Linked DNA regions of Oryzias latipes. The protein of the gene in region 2 binds, or shares a complex with, the protein of the main gene of each other region. Links are inferred from orthologs where the notes say so. Each region holds a gene or a part of one and is shown on either strand. Other genes may lie near its edges.

Region 1 (8,461 bases), on a different chromosome or scaffold from region 2:
GGATGTTGCTGGTTTTCGTGAGTGAACTGCAGACACGCTGTAGAGGCCGACTCTCGGTTGACAGCATGAAATGGCCGGAACCCACAAAGAGCGACAAGCAGAGCCTCAGAGATCGAGTCGTCTTACTTCCTGGTAGGAAATGAGGTCGCGAAAATAAAAATAAAAAAGAATCGCACTTTAGTGTACCAATATTATCACATATATGGATATCCCGGTAGTTTACTCTGAAAGGCTTAAGAAAAGCATGATACAGGCCCTTTAAACACTATGTGCATTTATTTATGAGGTACAAATAAGTTTTAAAAAATTACCTTTATATTTTAGAAATGGTTAACATAAAAATTGCAGCATTCTTTCATTATCAAGCAAATACTGAAACGAATTAAATGTGATTAAAAAAGGAAAAATAATATTAATAATAAGGTTCTGATTACCATGTCTGAGGTGCTTTCCAGGAGGAAATTGATGGCTCGACTGACATCCTCATTGCAGTCATGAAGAGCTACCATGCATTCATCCTGGTTCTTCCCGGTCACTTCCATCAGCTAAAACAGTAATAGACACGTCTTAACATTAACCAGGAACACAGGAAACCAAATCCTAATGCTGGTGGGTGGGTGGAACGGAAAAACATGTCACCAATTTGTAAAGTCTGCCAAAGATTGACGGGTTTCTTCACCTGATTAACTTTGTCCTCAAAGTCAGCATCATTCTTGTCAAAGATCATCTGAGCAAGGCGGATCTGCTCAGCAGTAGCCTTCAACACACACACACACACACACACACAGTTTGTAGATTATGTTTGGAATTGTTTTTTTTTTTGCTCTTTAATACCAAAACAATTTGCTCCAATTACAATTAGGTTTTTTTTGTTTTTTACTTTTTTTCCCAGCATTCTCTGTGTGGACCAAATTATTGATGTTTTGATGACACATTAAAAAAAGAACAAACAAAAAAAGGAGAAACGGTTGAAAAAGAAACTGAAAGAGACAAATTCTTTAACATTTCATACAGAATTGCATGTTGATTGAATGATTTAAAGCGCCTAATTGAAAAGATTTTATGGAATCCAAATCATAAATCCATGGAGAACTTCTCGCTTTCCTTGTGAAGGAGAAAATGTGATCATACTTTTACCACCAAGTAATAAAATGCACAAGTATTGGAAGATACTTTAAAGAAACACATTTTGTTTCCGCTTTTTTACATTTATGACATCCAAGAAAGTTTATGCTTTTGCATTAAAAATGTGTCACATGCTATGTTACATATACAAACACACGCACACACAATTAGAGCTTTAAATGTGTGCTTTGTTGGTGTACAACCCTACAGCCATTTTGCTTTTATGATGACATATGTCCATTAAAAATCAAGCTTTTTTTAAGTTTATTTTTTTAGTTTAACTGACTTACCTGTATTTGCTTCTGTGGTTGTGATACATGAGTAGCAGCTGGCAGCGCTTTATCCCGAGGGCCCCGGGACTTTTCGCTGCCCAGCGAGCTCATCATATACAGTATATACAAAACTCTGTATGTACAAAATAGAAAAACCTGCAAAAACAAAAAAGACAAGGCACAAATTTTATCATCGGACTGTAAAATAACTCAAAATATATTTATTTTTACATTACAATAGCCCGAAACGTTCGCATCAAACAAATGTTGACCTTGTTAGATCTGATTGATTTGCTTAGCCTATCAGCTTTGCAAAAATCTGTGCCAAAAAGGAGGAGCAGTCACTGTTCTACCAGTATAAACCAGTCTGTTAGAGAAGCAGAAGAAAAAAGACTACAGACCCTAACATCACACCCTTTTTTACTGGTTGTAAATCTTAATTAAACACAATTTAAACTCTAAAATATGCTAAATCTATTTTTTTTTTTACATACTCGTGTATGTACATATATACAAATATAACCAAGAAATTTTCAAATAAATGCAAGACATTGGTTTTTATTATTGTCAAACTATATAGCAAAGAAAGTGCGCCAGACGATGCCATATAATCTTCCACTATGGTGTGGATTGTCATAATAGGTCTCGATTCCATTTATTGACCCATTTATGACGTGTCAGAGAACAATGGCAATCCAGCTCTAAGGTGACGTTGACAAATACGAAGCTGCTATTGGCTGCCGAGCTGAACAAAGCTACGGCAACAAAAAAATCCTTTAATAAACAGAATTTCAGCAACATCATTTTATAAATGAAAAGGGTCAAATCTACGTTTCTGCAATCCAACACAGTTTCACAGAACAAATGTAGGGTTATAAAAATATACACAAATAAATATGATGACAGTCGGAGGACTCAAACAATAACAAAACAACCATTCAGCGGCTATAGTTTTTGTCAAATCAAAGAAAAAAATATTAAACATTAAATTTAGCGTCACTGCGACGATAAGACTACATGTGAAAGATTAAATAAGAATAATACACTATCCTGTTGAAAAAAAAATCCCCAAAGCGTTGTTTTGAGTGAATGCTAACATTAGCTTGTTGTTATGTCTCTCGTTTCCAGAGTCGATATAAGATAACTCTGTGACTTCCAGCTCCCAAAACAAAGTCACTAAACGTTTAAAGTGTCTCCAACATACTGTCAATTAAACATCGACTGACTTTTCGTCGTTCGCAGAGCGCTCCGTTTTGTTCTCGCTAGCATGAAGTTAGCCGTTCCGTGCTACAGCGGACACCGAAGCGTTGATCTTGGAACAAACGATGCAGCAGGAGAGATGCTAACGATGCTATCTAAATCTGGTCCAAGTTGATAGCCATTGCCAACGGCCAACAAACTACCGTCATACAGCGCCTCATATTATTCGAGCGCCATGATTTTTAAAAGCGGAGAAATTGAGTTAATACCGAGAGCTGAAGGAAACCACCAGGAGTGAATGTATTGTTAACAAGAAAAAAAGGCCTCGCGGTGCGAAATCCTATCCCGACATTGCTCGCCGGGAATCAAGACAACAGGAAAAACGGTAAAGGTTTTCGAAAACCCCTCGTGAAGCGAACGAACCCAGACGACGAGTAACTATTCCACTCAAATACAGTTAACCACAATGTTTACACGATTAAAAAAATCACTTCGACTAAAGTTAAGATTAGCGGAAAAATGTGTGTTTTTGGTACCTGCTAACACGCCTCTCGGCCAGCAGCAGACAAGGTGGTCACGTGACTCGCGCTGCCTCTGTGGATGCTCCGCTCTCATCTGCCGCGCTTACTCAAAGATCACAACTGTCAGCAACTGCGATGAAGAATTACTGCAAACTATGCAACGCATCGGATCTCTAAACACAAAGGCCCCTAAAAAATAAAAATCACAATTTAAATCGAATCACACATCACGTTACAATGATATATGTTTTATTTGTATTATTTGCTTATTTCTAAGAACGGCGCACCCCCCCCCCCCCCCCCCAGCTGTTAATATTTTAGAATATTTGCACTTTCAGTCATTTGTAAAAACACTCACAAGGCGTGTATAAAAAATGTATCACCAAGTAGACATTAATGAACACCCTTTCCTCAGACATATACATAAAATATATGCACTTGTCCTTAAGCATTTTACAGACACATTGTACACACACACCTGTATATAAAATATGTTTTTTAAGAGTGAATCGATTTAATTTGCTGTGGATTTCCCGTCCCGATCATTATCACTACAAGAAGACAAAAGTTGCATGTAGAAAAAGGAAAACGATGATTACATGTGATAGTCTTTCACGGAAAGACTTGAGGAAGGCAAAAAGCAACATCTTGCCTACCCTGTCTCTACCAAACAATGGAAAATCAAAATTCAGAACTCACTCCTGGGTTCAGTGGAGTAAAAGCAAATGCATCTGTAGCTTATAAATCCATGTTCTCCTTGTATTTATACCAAGCTGAGCCACTACAATTCCTCTCACAAGTTCATGTGGGTCTAAATCCATTGATCAAATGTTTTTCTTTTACCGGTAGTCATTAATAAAGCTGTTTTTTTTTAAAACCTAGGCAGAGTTCTCAAGGAACAGCAGTTTTAGATAATGGAAAACCAAAGAGATCACACCAAACACAAAGCAAAGGGCAAACAGGAAACACTCCTTTCAAAAAATGATGCAAATTATACAAATGAAATTGACAGAAAAGAGGGGGAGAATAAATACAGAGTAAAGGGGTTATTATGAGGGGTGTGCCTGTCAAAGCCCAGTCAAAAAAATAAAAATAAAGTCATAGAGCAAGAACCAAATTGCATCTACCAATCAGAAGGATCCTCCTCTTCATGCAGATGAAGGGGAGAAGCACAATTTCTCGTTTTGATTCCAACAGAAGAGTTCCTTGTGTTTTCCTTTCTTTTTTTTGCTTGCAGTCCAACCTGTAAAAATTCTGTCAAATGTCCAAGTCCTACAAAACGAAAAGTCTCTTCCATCCCTCTGGCCTTTCTCCCTCTTTTTTCTTTTAATGTAGTTGATTTAAGTGAGTAAAAGTGAAAGAATGGATACAAAAAGAAAAAAAAACATCACTTGTTTAATCACAGGAGAAGCATTTGTTTCCTGTGTACAAATGTAAATACCAAAGAACACAGCCTAATCCCTGCAGATTGGATGTATACATGACGGTAAAAAAGTTTACTTTTATTCTTAATGTTTTTCAAACCCCATCTGAGTTTCTCAGTGGCACACTTAGCAGCTCTTTAATTTATTAGGTAACTGTACATTTGTATAAATTACTTAAAAAGCGGGAAAGTGCGTTAGGACAGCGATGTAGAAAAGTATGATGTAAATAGAGACACAAACACAGACGACAATCATATTGAAAGGAGGAAAGATCATGCTCCTGAGTCCACGTGTGGGCTGAACGCCCTCCTAAAGCAGGAGGAGGAGGTTTTCTGGACAGTGATGTAGATGAAGTTGAGGGAGGCCGAGGGATAGGATAGGTAGAGCTGAAGGAGAACTTTGTGACGGATCGATGGGAGAAGCTAACTCCACAGGCCTGCGTAGTTTCCGTGAAGGCCTGAACAGAGCGGGCCGCCGGCTACAAAGAGCTTTGTGCCGGAGTCGTCATAGCAGTGGGTGTACACGGCGTTGGGAAAAGAATGAATATCTGAGAAGTAACTCCTCCATGTTTCATCGTGGTTCTGCACAAAAAAGAAACAAGAAAAACCCTGACTATTTCTGTCATCATTTATCATCATTCATCAGGGTAATATTTCATTGAGAATATCCTTTTTTTTTTTTAGCTTTTAAACAAAAATTCTTCATACCAGCCAGCCTTTTCCTGTTGAAAGCTTGAGGATCCCATCAGCGGGACATTTCCGACACACATTGGTAGGACTAAAAGGGTTCTCCAGGAATCTTTGAGCCCGAATATCATAGAAGAGAAGGGAACCCTGGCCGGTCCCCACTGTCACAATGTGCTCATAGAAACTCACTGAACGGATCCCTGGAAGGGAGAAGACGCACACATGTTAATATGGCAAATCCCTCCACTTATACAGAGGGAAACATCTCATTCTGTTTCATACCCAAACATCTTTATTTAATATTTACCAAAACAGATCAACAACTGTCACATGCTTGTGTTTCTAATCTGCTCTGGATTTTCAGATGACTTACCACTGCCTCTCTCTCTGGAACTAACAGACTTGATGCTGTGTGTTGGCTGGCGTGGATCCAAGAAGGAAACATGGGCCTGAGAACCCACCGCATAAACCGACCAGTCCTGGCCGTACGCTAAACACACATTCTCTTTGGAGTGAGGCAGCTTGGTGGACAGAATCTGCACAAATCAGTGTTAAACCATACATTAAGAACAGGCACCGCTTTCATGCAAAACTGACACTGAAATATTAACAATTGAAATTAATCAATAAAAAGTTATGGTTGATTTAGTTTACCTTGAACAAGTTATGCTCTGCTTTCCAGAGGTGGAAATAGCCATCCAAAGACACAGCACCCAGTTCCTTTGAAAGGAGAAAAAAAGAGCTGATAAATCAAATAGCTGAAGCATAAAGAGAAAAACCCAAAGCAATGTAATTATAATTCACCATAAATCCATAAACTTCACTAATTCCTAAACATGAAATAAAGGTACAAATACTTTTCTTTGATACAAATAAAAATGGTCATACTTTCCAAGAAGTAATGAATTGAAACAGGATGGCTCGACTCTGATAAAGCATTATTGGTAGTAATGCATTATAATTCCAGAGATTTGTTGTTTCTGCACTAATTAGACAGAAGAGCAGCCTTTACAATAAATGTACCTAAATATAGCATAGTATACCTCAGGATGAAATTCTACTATGTTTAAATAGTTTGCACTTTACCTGATCAGAGATAATTATGAGTTGAAAGCGAGTTACGTTAAAATCTAGAGGAAATTAATTATAAGTTTGTTTGTTTTTTTGAATCATAAATGAGAGAACCTGTTGAGTTTTTTCTCTGAAATCGTCATAATTTGACTCACTGTGGCATAAACCTTCATGCGTGTAGGAGGGCTGGGTGATATGGCCTAAAAATAACACCTCAAATAACAGCAGAGATTTTTCTCCCTCCCTTTACAGTCTCAAACAAGTTACAAATGATAGAGCACATTTCACAAAAACGTTGTTTTTTTTTTTTTTTTTTTTTTTTTTTTTAACATCTCCTGTGGGAGATGACCTGAATAACAAACCAGTTCCATAGAACTGAAGAAAACTAGCTCCTCCTTATTCGTTGTAAATTTTAACGTCTGCACGTTGCTAGAGTACGACAAAGTTTTAGGGCCATCAAAAGAAGTGTTTGAAAGCTCATTTGTTTGATTTACGTTTTTATTCCCGTTTTATTTATCGATTGGCGGCTTGCAGGATCTCTGCAGCCCGTTGATGAAGCCATCGGTGTCCCTGCAGCTGTTCACTTCAATCCCTTCTTCCTCCACGAAACAAAGTCTCTAGGCATGTGTGACGCTTCCGACTGAGAAAGTGCACTTTCAGGCTTTTTCAATGCTCTTATGTTGATATAACCGGCTATTCATCTTTGTTGTTTTATGTTGAAACGGGACGTTTCATCTGGAAGGGGTGTATGTAACAATGTTTACCTTCCGCTTTAGTGTTCTGCGCGTGACAGGTTCATGACGCAAGGTGACAGATGGACTTCTGGTATGGGAATGAAAAGGAAAATAAAGTTGCGGTCCTCTTCACCCTAACTTGTCTCTGAGCTCCTTATTCTACATATAAACTCCGTTTCACCGACACCGAACCCCGGAAAGCCGGCTACACTAATAATAATCTGATTTTGAGTCGCCAAACGGTCCACTGTGTGGGAACTTCTTTGTTTTTGAAACCTATCCGGAAATAAAGCTTCACAAAATGCTCCACAGCTTTCATCTTCAAGCTAGGCTTCGATAAAGAGACAACTATGGCGTTTTTTTCCTCGTTAATTTATGACTTTTTTCTCTCGTAGATGTACGTGGAAAAAAATGTATTCTTGAAATTTAACAGTTAGGACTTTTTTCTGGAAAATTTACGACTTAAAAGTTGTAATTTAAAAAAAGAATTGTTTGTCAACTGGCCCTAAAACTCTGTCCAAAGAGAAAGACCAGCAGGCTGACCTTACTACGAACAGCGGAAGCCCGAGGGAGGAGGATGCCGGGAAAAAAACAAATCCCAAATTTTCCTAAAAAAAATCCATAGTGTGTAGATGTTCAGACTGCACACTGACAGATATGCAAGTGAAAAGGTTCTATGAGCTTATTCTTGTCTGTCTTATGTGTTATTTCAGCTCTGGCAGCAGAAATCTATTGTCCTGTGGGACACAGAGTGACCATGTGATGAGAGTTCAGAGATAATAAAACACACTGTGGTTTATTATTGTGTTGAAGATTCTGGACTCCTCTGAACAACAATTAATCGCATAGTCCACTATGTAAAGTAACCCATAGCAACAGCACAAACATGTTATCTTGATCAGTAAATATGAAATATTTATATACTGTACGAAGTATTGAATTTGCTGGAAATATGGAACTCTGTAATTATTGACAGTACAGATAAACTCAATAGTAGTGAGTTTAGTAAAGGGTAAACTTCAGTACCAAGCGTAGTACTTCAATCTTCTCGATTAAACTTGCACAACTGCATATCTCGGAAGAAAATGCTCAAAATATAAGCTAATAGAAACAAGAATAACATGAATGATAGAAGCTCTTGCTACAGGAATTATGTAAACATTAAAAGAAATTGCACCATAATCAATTAACGTTTAATTCTCCAACAACGGAATGAAAGTGCTTATTTTAACCTAATCAATAGTTTGAATTTCAACTTTGAAAGCTTCGGTCTCCAAAATATTGCCAGTAAGTATAGTGCGACCATTTTTTGGATCATTAAATGGTTGCTTCCTGCATGGGAGGAACCTTACTTTATGGCTGTCGTTGAAGGCAAGAGCACGGACTTTACAGTTGTATGGGTTGGTGCACTCTTTGGGGATGTCCTTG
Region 2 (9,513 bases):
ATATGTAGTGAAGCCCACCTCTCCCAAGGACAAGGCTGTCATCGTCATTCATGACATCTTCGGTTGGCAGCTTCCAAACACTAGATACATGGCGGAGATGCTCGCTGCCGACGGATACATGTGCGTACAGTCTGATATTTGGGGGAGATCAGATATGTTTATGGAGTTCAATCTCTGTTGTTCTCTGAGCAGAGCTGTGTGCCCGGACTTCTTTGTTGGAAAGGAACCGTGGAGCCCAGCTGGTGACTGGTCCAAGTTTCAGGAGTGGCTTCAGGACAAAAAACCAACCACCATAAACAAGTGTGTCACTTCGGGTCACCTGCTCAAAAGTTTGTCTTGTAATTCTGGGTTCATCTCTGAACCAGACCCACATTGGAACAAGCTTATCTTCTCCTCAGGGAGGTGGACGCTGTTCTGAATTACTTGAAGGAGCAGTGTGGGGCCAAACGCATCGGGACAGTAGGCTTTTGCTGGGGTGGGGTCGCCACACATTACATAGCTTTGCAGTATCCAGAGGTGAAAGCCGGAGTTTCTGTTTACGGTACGCCATCCAGACACACAGATTTCTGAGTGAAGCCTTTAAATGACATTGGAATTCAAATAATCGCATTAATCCTGATAAATTATTGAAGAGACATAAGCGTGTTTTTTTATTAAATTAATCTCAGTTTTTATCTATAACGCATATCTATTAAGTAAGGGATAAATCCCGACGAGGTGTCAGTTTTCATTATTTTTTTCTGAATTTCTGATAATGGACACCTCGAAGGGGATTCTACTGCTTTTTATGGTCACTTTCAAAAGAAATAAATATGTAATCAATTATTAATCATTTAATCGTATCGTTTTAGGTTTATTTTTTCCCTAAAAGCAGACTATTTGATACGCAGTGCGACATGTTGTCATGGTAAAGGCTTCAGCGCCTCACACTGCTTTTTTGATTTGTTCAATTAGAGCACTCTGGACCTGCTGTATTGTTTTTTCTTTCTTTTTGTTTTAGATTGACAAATACCCCCTGGTGGTATAAAAGGGAAGGTTGGAAGAAGTCTGTTATAAAAAACGTCATAAAACCGCTTTTTAAATTGTTCTACTGCACCACGATGTCACAAAATTAAATAAAAAGATCTCAAAATGAGTCTTTTCACAGCAATTATTAGGTCAAATTAAAAAAATAGATTAATTTCAGGTCATAAATTAATTATTCGAATGACGGCACTAATTTGAATGTTTTGTTTTTTCTGCGTAGGAATAGTTCGAGAAAGAGAGGACAGGTACGCCCTCAAGAGCCCCACTCTGTTCATTTTTGCAGAGGTGGATCAGGTTATCCCTCTTGACCAGGTGTGTGTGCTTTGAGTGACACTTAGGCCTAACTTCTCCATTTCATTTTATAATTATTCTACTTGCTCTGTGAAGGTGAATGCCCTAGAGGCGAAGCTGAAGGAAAAATGTACCGTAGAGCACCAGGTGAAAATATTTCCTGGTCAAACTCACGGCTTCGTCCACCGGAAGAGAGAAGACATCAACCCGGCAGACAAACCGTACATCCAGGAGGCAAGAAAAGACATGCTGAACTGGCTCAACAAATACTGCTGAAGACATTCGCAATATAGAAACCAATGAAAGAAATAAGCATCGACTTACGAGATTCTGTAAAAATTGCTCCTAATTGAATGTTTTTTTTCTTAACTGTCCTAAACACATATGCATTAAATAGTTGACAAGATGACTGAAGTGGTTGAAATATGGCTAACATGCAAACGCTCTCCATGTTATCATTTTCAAAGTTTTATTTTCTAAAGAACGAACATCTTAATGTCAATAAAATAAAAAATTCTTTGGGATAATGTTTGAAATGATCTGATGCAGACAGAAGGACAAGAGAGTTTATTTTATTTAAAGCACAGTTGAAGACTCCTGAAATTCGATTAGATCAACATTTTATTGTTGACTTTGATACTACAACAGCTGGAACAAGTACCAAATGATAAATACGAATGTGCGGTGCGGTTTGAACATGAAGCTTGAGGAAGTGCCAAAGACCTCGAGCGTTTCAGAACATCAAGTGTCGACTTCATTCCTCGGTCTCTCCAGGGCTCCGGATGTCATCGATCTTCAGGATCATCCTGACCACCTGGGTAGCCAGGGAGATCTGCTGCTTTTTGGCGATCAGAGTCTCGATCACGTGTTGCTGCTTCATGTCTTTAGAAAAGAACAGAAACAGATTCTCAATACTAGTTCCAGGTATTTTGGTAGCTTTTTGACCACAACCTGCTCTTACCGTTGGTGTTTTTGTGTAAACAGTCAATGCCAAGGAAAGGGTTGTTGTCTTTGACTTGTCTGGCTCGGACCTCTGCCATGGTCTGGATGGGGTTCAGTCCGCTGTTTTCAGCCAAAGCCATTGGGATGACTTCTAAAGCATCGGCAAACGACCGCATGGCATACTGCTCCAATGATGGGCACTGAAACAGAACATTTACAAAAGATATAACTCTGCGACATTTGAAGCAGAAATGGGTTGCCAGGTCTGAAACATCAACTTTAGAGTCTCACCTTATCTGCAGCCCGATTTACCGCCAGGGCACATGCGATCTCTGAGGCTCCACCCCCATAAACAACACGGTTGTCTCGGATCAAATTGCGAATTACACACAAAGCATCGTGGAGCGCGCGCTTGGCCTCCTCAATGATCTGGTAGGAAAGACAGAGAATTAGCAATAATCCCCAGCACACACACACACACAAAAAAAAGTGTGAGAGTGATAAGACAGACTAACCATCTTGTTGCCCCCACGGATGAAAATGGTTACAGCCCTGGTGTTTTTGCACTCCTGAATAACCAACATGTGATCCTTGGTGGTGCCGAAGGAGAGCTCCTTCACTAAACCAGCTGTGCCCAGCTTCTCGGGCGTCAGCTCACTGAACCGCGGCACAATGCGACCTCCTGTGGCGATGGCGATCAACTGCCAGAGCAGGTTTCAGAGAAGGTGAACTTTCTTTACAAACTTTGTGTTGAAACATCAACACCAAATATGACATTTTTTTAACAACAGTTTCCGCCCCCCAATACAAAAGATCAACTACTTTCATCTACTAAAAAGCAGTCTATGATAGAAATGTGGAAGTAGCTTACAATGGGAATGAAGTAGACATGTTTGTTTTGACATCAGGTAACAATCTGATATGATTAAATTTATTTTTACTATGGTTTTGTGTCTGCACAAACGGCTTAACCTTCCATTCTAAATATTTTACAAGCAAAAAACTTCCAATTGGTTTATCCCCACTTGACTGACATTTTTGGAAGATTTTTCACATCATAGAAAATTAACATTCTCAACTTTGACCGCTTTATAGCTCTAGCTGTTTATAACTGCCATTTATTCTGCAATGTGTCACAACTTTATTGGTAAAAGTAAGTTTTCTGCAGGAATGACAACAAAATAATGTGAATTAAGATTAAAGTTTGAAGGTGGCTAACAAAAGTAGAACTGTAAAGGTTCCACAGCATGTAAAGCATCCCACCTCGATCTCAGGTCCTCCAACCCAGCGCACAGCAGGCAGCTCATTCTGCAGCAGAAGGTGGTTCGCCTCGTCGTCAAAGCCCCACTGACAGATGGCCAAGTTGGCACCGTTGCTTTTGACCTAAACGCAAAACAATTGTATGTTTTGCATTTTAACAAGAACCCCGCACATCACTATTTTTGTTGCTTCTATATTTAATATTGTTTATACTTTGCTGATAATCAAGTAGCCAACAGATTCTTTGATTACTGACCTGCTGGATCATCTCCTCAAACTTCTCTTTTTCATATTTCTGCAGGGCTTTGTAGTCCTCCACAGAGGTCACATCCAGCTTATGCTTGGTCTTGGGTTTAGGTGGCTCAAAGGGGCAGGTTAGGATGGCAATTTTGACATCTTTCAGTTCCTAAGTTACAAAAAGGAAAACATTTCAGAGAAAAAAAGCGTTCTTAACTGTGGCAACAATAATTGTCCCTAGAATAAAGTGTTTCATTAAAGAGATATGTATTTTTTTTTATTTTTTATTTTTAGTTACCAGGATGTGAAATCAATTTCAAACTGACCTTTTATCTGTCTACTTACAGAGAGGTAAAAGGCATTAGGCAGTTTCCTGAGAATCCATTTAAGACTCCGTTCATACCTTGGGCATCTGGGGGTGGCTGAACTCCTTGTCAACAATAACTCCCTTGATGAGCTGTGTGTCCTCCAGCTTCCCTCCCACTTTGCCCTCCACCTTAATGAGTTCGAAGTCGACATCCTTCCTCTGCATGTCAGCCACAGTGAGGATGGCGTTTACAGCGATCTCTGCCATCTGTCTGTGACACCGGTTGATACTAGAACACACAACAGTTTATAGCAGATCAGAAATTGTGCTTAGTTTTTGTGTTTGAAAACTATAACCATAATTACAGAAATAAAGTCTTAATTAAGGTTTAACAAAACATGCTGTGAAGAAGCAACACATTTTCTGTAAAAAAAAACTCCCTTACACTTTGGATCCCAGTGTTGTCATGGCAGTTTGAATGAGTGGTTCCAAGTTGTTTGGATCACAGGGGAAGGTTTCTGCAATTTTGTCCAGCTTCTCTATGGCGATCCGTGCAGCCTGGTCATAACCATCTGAGATCCTGATGGGGTGGATCCCACGATCCAGCAGCAGCTCAGCCTCCTCCAGCAATGCTCCAGCCAGCACTAAGAAAGATTACAAATAAATAAAGCAACAGTTATCTCATAAAAAAGTATAACCAATGCAATCCTACAATCTTTGACAAGCCACATACCTACTACTCCAGTAGTCCCATCGCCGATCTCATCATCTTGAGACTTGGACAGCTCTACCATAAGTTTAGCAATCTGGTGGTCAACATCCATCATACTGAGGATAGTGGCTCCATCGTTGGTGACAGTTACTTCCCCATCCCTGTCAACCATCATTTTGTCAAGACCTGCATGCAAAAATGAAAAATGAAGAAAGAGTTCATTACAATCTGCATTTGTCTGTGCTGCTTTTAGATTTGACACACACTATGATTTCAGAATTACCATTAGGACCCAGAGATGTCCTGAGCGTTCCAGCGACCGCCTTGGCTGCCATGATGTGAGACTGCAAAACATAAAAATATTAACGTGGAATCATGATACAACTTTTACCTATATTTTATCTTAAGACGTTGCAGTGTGTACTTCAAATATGTTAATGATCTGCGTCACTGATTACCATTTTTGGGAGCAGCTACACCCCGCTAGCTAAAACCACATGGGCCCGCATTAGCATTTTTGGCTAATCCGCGTTAACTACATAGATGCTATCACGCTACAAATTTACAACAGAAGACAAAATGACTCCAAATAAAAGGGTCAAATACGTATTTACATGTAGGCCTTAAATATTATTATTACAAGCAACACATGTTACATTTGCAGGTCATCACACCACCAGGTTTATGCTTCACTAGCTAGCCCATTGTACCTTCAATGCGTCAATGCCCGTTAACCGAGTCTTCTTGTCCTGGTCTTTAATGATGATGAAAGGCCTCCCATACTCATCAAACGCCAGTGTCCCTAATGTGGACATCTTGACTTGGGTAGAAAATACTCCACGAGAGTTTAACTACTGTATGATTAGTTTATCCGATGTTTTAGCTGGAGCGTGGCTGAGCACGAGTCTGCCGGTACTTCTGGAAGGCTCCACGGACGGGGAGGGCGGAACCAAATACTTTCAAAAAACCTTTTCTAAATGTTTGAATACCTCATCATGTCAAGATAAAAAATTAAAATTCAATGTAATTTATTTATAAATTATGCAAATATAAACTTGCAATAAGGAATAGTTTTAGTGCTTAAGCTAAAAATATAATTTCCAACTTGGTTCGGGCCGATTACGTTTGTGTTTTTTTTTTGTTTAGAGTCTCGCGAGATCTCAATGAGTGGAGTGGCTGGCATAGGAGTGGATCTAGAATTAAATGAGCTGCTACGCGAAGGTAAATATGTCTGAAAAGTTTACACGACTGATGCAGAAATGTTTTTTTTCCCACAAGGTATTTTTACATGTTCGATACACAAGATGAAGTTAATAAGGTTCCCAAATGTAATTTCGTGATCGAGCCGGGATTCTTCTTGGTTGATATTATTCCTACTTCTCCATTGCAGCGCGATTTAAAGTTACTACCTCAAGGTTTAGTTTTGATTTAGTGCTGTGAGACAGTAAAAGTTTAAACGTTTCACGTGGGGCGTTATGATTTCTTCTGGCTACGTAATACGTTACGCAACATCCGGGCACTGTTATGGTGGTGTCATGATGGAGGAAAGTGTTTCATTACACTGTTAAGGCACTTTTATTGTCCTGCCTGCTTCTTCCACGCATATTGGTAAGCGAGACCATCACTTCCAGTTCAGAGGATAATCCAAATTGAATTGTCCATCTAGCAGTAACTGTTGCCTTTGACTTAAGTGACAGTATTATTGTTTTACTTATTGTTATTTACTTTCTTGTTGTGAGAAATAGAAATAATATATTTATTTTGGTATCTGTGGATTCTGGTTAGTTCACATGACGTAATACTCCCGTTACTGTACTTATGTTACTAATGACATTAACCACAAAATACGTAAATGTCTTTGTAAACTCTAAAAAGCATTATTATTTCTCTTTGTTTTGTAGCATGCCTTGTGAGACCAAATCTCGGTTTGTGGTCCTGTACGGCTCTCAAAAGGGCCAGGCCCAGTCCATTGCAGAGGGGATTGCTGAAGAGGCAGAGGACCACGGGTTGGTTGCTGAACTGAGCTGTTTAAACCAAGACGAGAAGGTGGCATCAACACATATCTCAAGATCGCACAGCTTCCACCTTGAAAAATTCTACTTCTTCAGTAATAATAATCCCTCTTTTTGTGCTGATTGTGTGTTTGTTTCCTCATGGATCTAATCTTTTACAGTACAATTTGGAGAAAGAGATCGCCCCTGTAGTCTTTGTCGTCTCTACCACTGGCGATGGGGAACCGCCCGACAACGCGCTCCAATTTGTCAAGAGAATCAACAAGAACCAATCTCCCGACCACTATAAACACCTTTCTTATACACTTTTGGGTAAATTCTAATTACATGATCGATTTCTGCTATTTAAAACAATCATCCTAGACGTTGCAATTCATGTTTAAACTTTCGAATGCTTTGCTTATAATTTAACTTTTGAAAGGTTGCTGCTTAACCCTAATCTGGTTTTATTTTCCGTATCAGCTTTAGGAGACACAAATTATGCTAATTTCTGCAACTGTGGGAAGACAATTGAGCGTAGACTGCAGGCACTCGGAGCCAGGCAGTTCTATCCAGCTGGATTCGCAGATGACGGTGTGGGGTAGGTTCTGCCAGGAAAACATGCATGTCGGAATGCTTGCAAAATACTTACATTGCTTTTACAATAGGCTGTTTAGTCTCCTCCAGAGAATCCCCTTTTCTAGACAAGTGTAAAAGCTCTTGTGAGTTGTAGTGGAGACCAATCAAGCAAACCTCGGTTGGGCTGAAAACGGGGCTGGGAAAATGTGGTGTAGCGAGGAGATGTATCATGAAATGATGGTTAGAGGAAAAGCAGAGCTGCTTTGGTTGTGTCTTTAGTGGTTTCAGGTGGTTTGGTCAGTATGAAATCTGACATTTTTCTTTTTTTCCAGCCTAAGTGAAACTTTATGGCCTTAAAATTCCAGTAATTAGCTTTTTCCAATGTTTTTTTTTTACTACTACTGCTTTTGTAAAATGTGGGTTTTGTATATCTGTAGGTTGGAACTGGTTGTGGACCCGTGGCTTGAAGGACTTTGGAAAGCCGTCAAAGAGGCTTCATCTAAAATGGCTTCCGTGAGGAATGATGAGTCTGAAGCGAACGTGAAAGATTCAGCAAAGGAATTTCTGGGTTTAACCCAACCGGATGTGCAGCTAAACCTGTTAAGCATCACTGATCAGCGGAGCCAGGAAGCCGTTCAAACGGACTTTCATAATGTGCCTTCGGCTCCATCTACCTCTTCTGGTCAAAACCCAAGCACTTTTTCAGGAAGGACTGAGTTTGTATCCCAGAATGATGCTATGCAGACAAAGGATGAGGGGATTCCCCACATTTCCTCGTCATCTCCCCTGACAAACTCTGTGCCGCCGCTTTCCCAGTCTTCTCTTAATGTTCCCGCTCTGCCCCCTCCCTTTTTGGATGTTACGTTGGTGGAGGTGGATGCCCCAGAACAGGTAATGAATGCTGCAAATTAAAGAAAAAAAGTTCATGCTTTCCTTCATTCCTAATTCTTCTCATGTTGAATCTTTTATTTCAGAATGTTGGACCGCTAAAAGAGACTTTCCATGAGGTTCCCATATCTAAGGCAGTTCTGCTAAGCAGAGGAGACTCTGTTAAGACAGCTCTCCTACTAGAGCTAGACATTTCTGTAGGTTTCAGAAAATGGTTTAAATAGGAGTTCTGAACATTTAGACCATATTCTCATAATTTGACCCCCATTTTGAACTCCAGACTTGCCCAGCATTGACCTACCAGCCCGGGGATTCTCTGGATGTGCTCTGCCCAAATAGGGCGGAAGAGGTGGACTACATGCTTTGCAGACTGGGGCTTAAAGATCGAAGGGACCATCGCGTCCATGTGGCTTTGAGAAAAGACACAAAGAAAAAAGGCAACGGTGTCTTCTTTTTTATTTTAAACTCGTCTTTTAAAGAAAAAAACGTTTTTGGAAAACAAATGTCTTTTTCTCCCCCGAAGGTGCTCATGTGCCGCCACACATCCCCCAAAATGTTTCCCTCCTCTTCCTGTTCACCTGGTGTCTGGAGATCAGAAGTGTTCCTAAGAAGGTACCGTGAGATCCAAACCTCACATTTGGGCATTTTATTACTGTATTTGCAAAAACATTGAATTTGACCTGTGCTGATTTTATTTGCTTTGTGATAAAGTAAAAAGCAAAAAAAGCAGACTTATTTTAAAATTCGTATAAAAGAATGGTTCGATTTCTGCTGTTTGGTCTCATTGCTAAACCTTTACCAGAGCAGATGCACCAATCACAGCAAAGCCTTGTGTGTGATTGGCTATCGTTTTTATGGGTGAATCTGCCCCCCTTTTTGCCCCAACGCTCTGATTCCTCTTGAACAGAGTCAATCTGGACTCATCCGACTTCCCAATCTTCTTCTGCATTATTCCAGAGTCCAGTCTTCACGCCCCTTAAATACCGTAAATTCCGGACTACAAAGCGCACCCGATTATTAGCCGCACCCACCCATTTTCACGTGTTTAACTAATTTTATACATACACAAGCCGCGTCGGCCGGGGTTCAAGCCGCATGAATTAGGCAACATTGTCATCCTGACGGATCACTTCCTGACTCAGAGTGTAAGTGTGATTCATTAGCACACAGTAGGTGGAGTCAGTTTTGCCTCAGGCTCATGTTCTTGAGTCTATCTGCATCTGCCAAACAGTATGCACCTCTATTCTGTTCACAAGTTCCTCAGTTATGGTTTTTATTTT

Evidence for each region.
Region 1: the proteins of cct5 (region 2) and dcaf12 are in contact, whole or in part, in a cryo-EM structure (PDB 8AJM), measured with the Homo sapiens proteins. The link is inferred for Oryzias latipes from reciprocal best matches to the Homo sapiens genes CCT5 and DCAF12. Residues at the interface, in NP_036205.1 of Homo sapiens: Gly537, Glu538, Ser539, Glu540, Glu541; in NP_056212.1 of Homo sapiens: Lys91, Phe93, Lys108, His144, Trp186, Phe188, Arg203, Lys254, Arg256, Glu298, Val300, Arg344, Phe411, Tyr422, Leu440, Pro441, Ser442, Gly443.

What each region holds. Positions count from the first base shown.
Region 1 is NC_019863.2:17,272,714-17,281,174, reverse strand, and holds the end of dcaf12 (DDB1- and CUL4-associated factor 12), read right to left. Parts: coding exon 8,386-8,461; intron 5,949-8,385; coding exon 5,883-5,948; intron 5,765-5,882; coding exon 5,602-5,764; intron 5,429-5,601; coding exon 5,250-5,428; intron 5,124-5,249; coding exon 4,965-5,123; 3' UTR 3,407-4,964; downstream 1-3,406. Other genes in the region: ubap2 (ubiquitin-associated protein 2), read right to left, coding at 435-545, 680-757, 1,416-1,511. UniProt on the Homo sapiens protein: Substrate-recognition component of a DCX (DDB1-CUL4-X-box) E3 ubiquitin-protein ligase complex of the DesCEND (destruction via C-end degrons) pathway, which recognizes a C-degron located at the extreme C terminus of target proteins, leading to their ubiquitination and degradation.
Region 2 is NC_019878.2:15,260,561-15,270,073, forward strand, and holds cct5 (T-complex protein 1 subunit epsilon), read right to left. Parts: upstream 5,886-9,513; 5' UTR 5,591-5,885; coding exon 5,486-5,590; intron 5,120-5,485; coding exon 5,059-5,119; intron 4,962-5,058; coding exon 4,797-4,961; intron 4,708-4,796; coding exon 4,509-4,707; intron 4,353-4,508; coding exon 4,160-4,352; intron 3,926-4,159; coding exon 3,776-3,925; intron 3,643-3,775; coding exon 3,523-3,642; intron 2,961-3,522; coding exon 2,775-2,960; intron 2,689-2,774; coding exon 2,551-2,688; intron 2,460-2,550; coding exon 2,279-2,459; intron 2,200-2,278; coding exon 2,072-2,199; 3' UTR 1,870-2,071; downstream 1-1,869. Other genes in the region: cmbl (carboxymethylenebutenolidase homolog), read left to right, coding at 1-120, 193-300, 399-541, 1,247-1,338, 1,414-1,593; mtrr (methionine synthase reductase), read left to right, coding at 6,678-6,821, 6,949-7,099, 7,250-7,367, 7,783-8,236, 8,320-8,430, 8,514-8,670, 8,757-8,845. UniProt on the Homo sapiens protein: Component of the chaperonin-containing T-complex (TRiC), a molecular chaperone complex that assists the folding of actin, tubulin and other proteins upon ATP hydrolysis.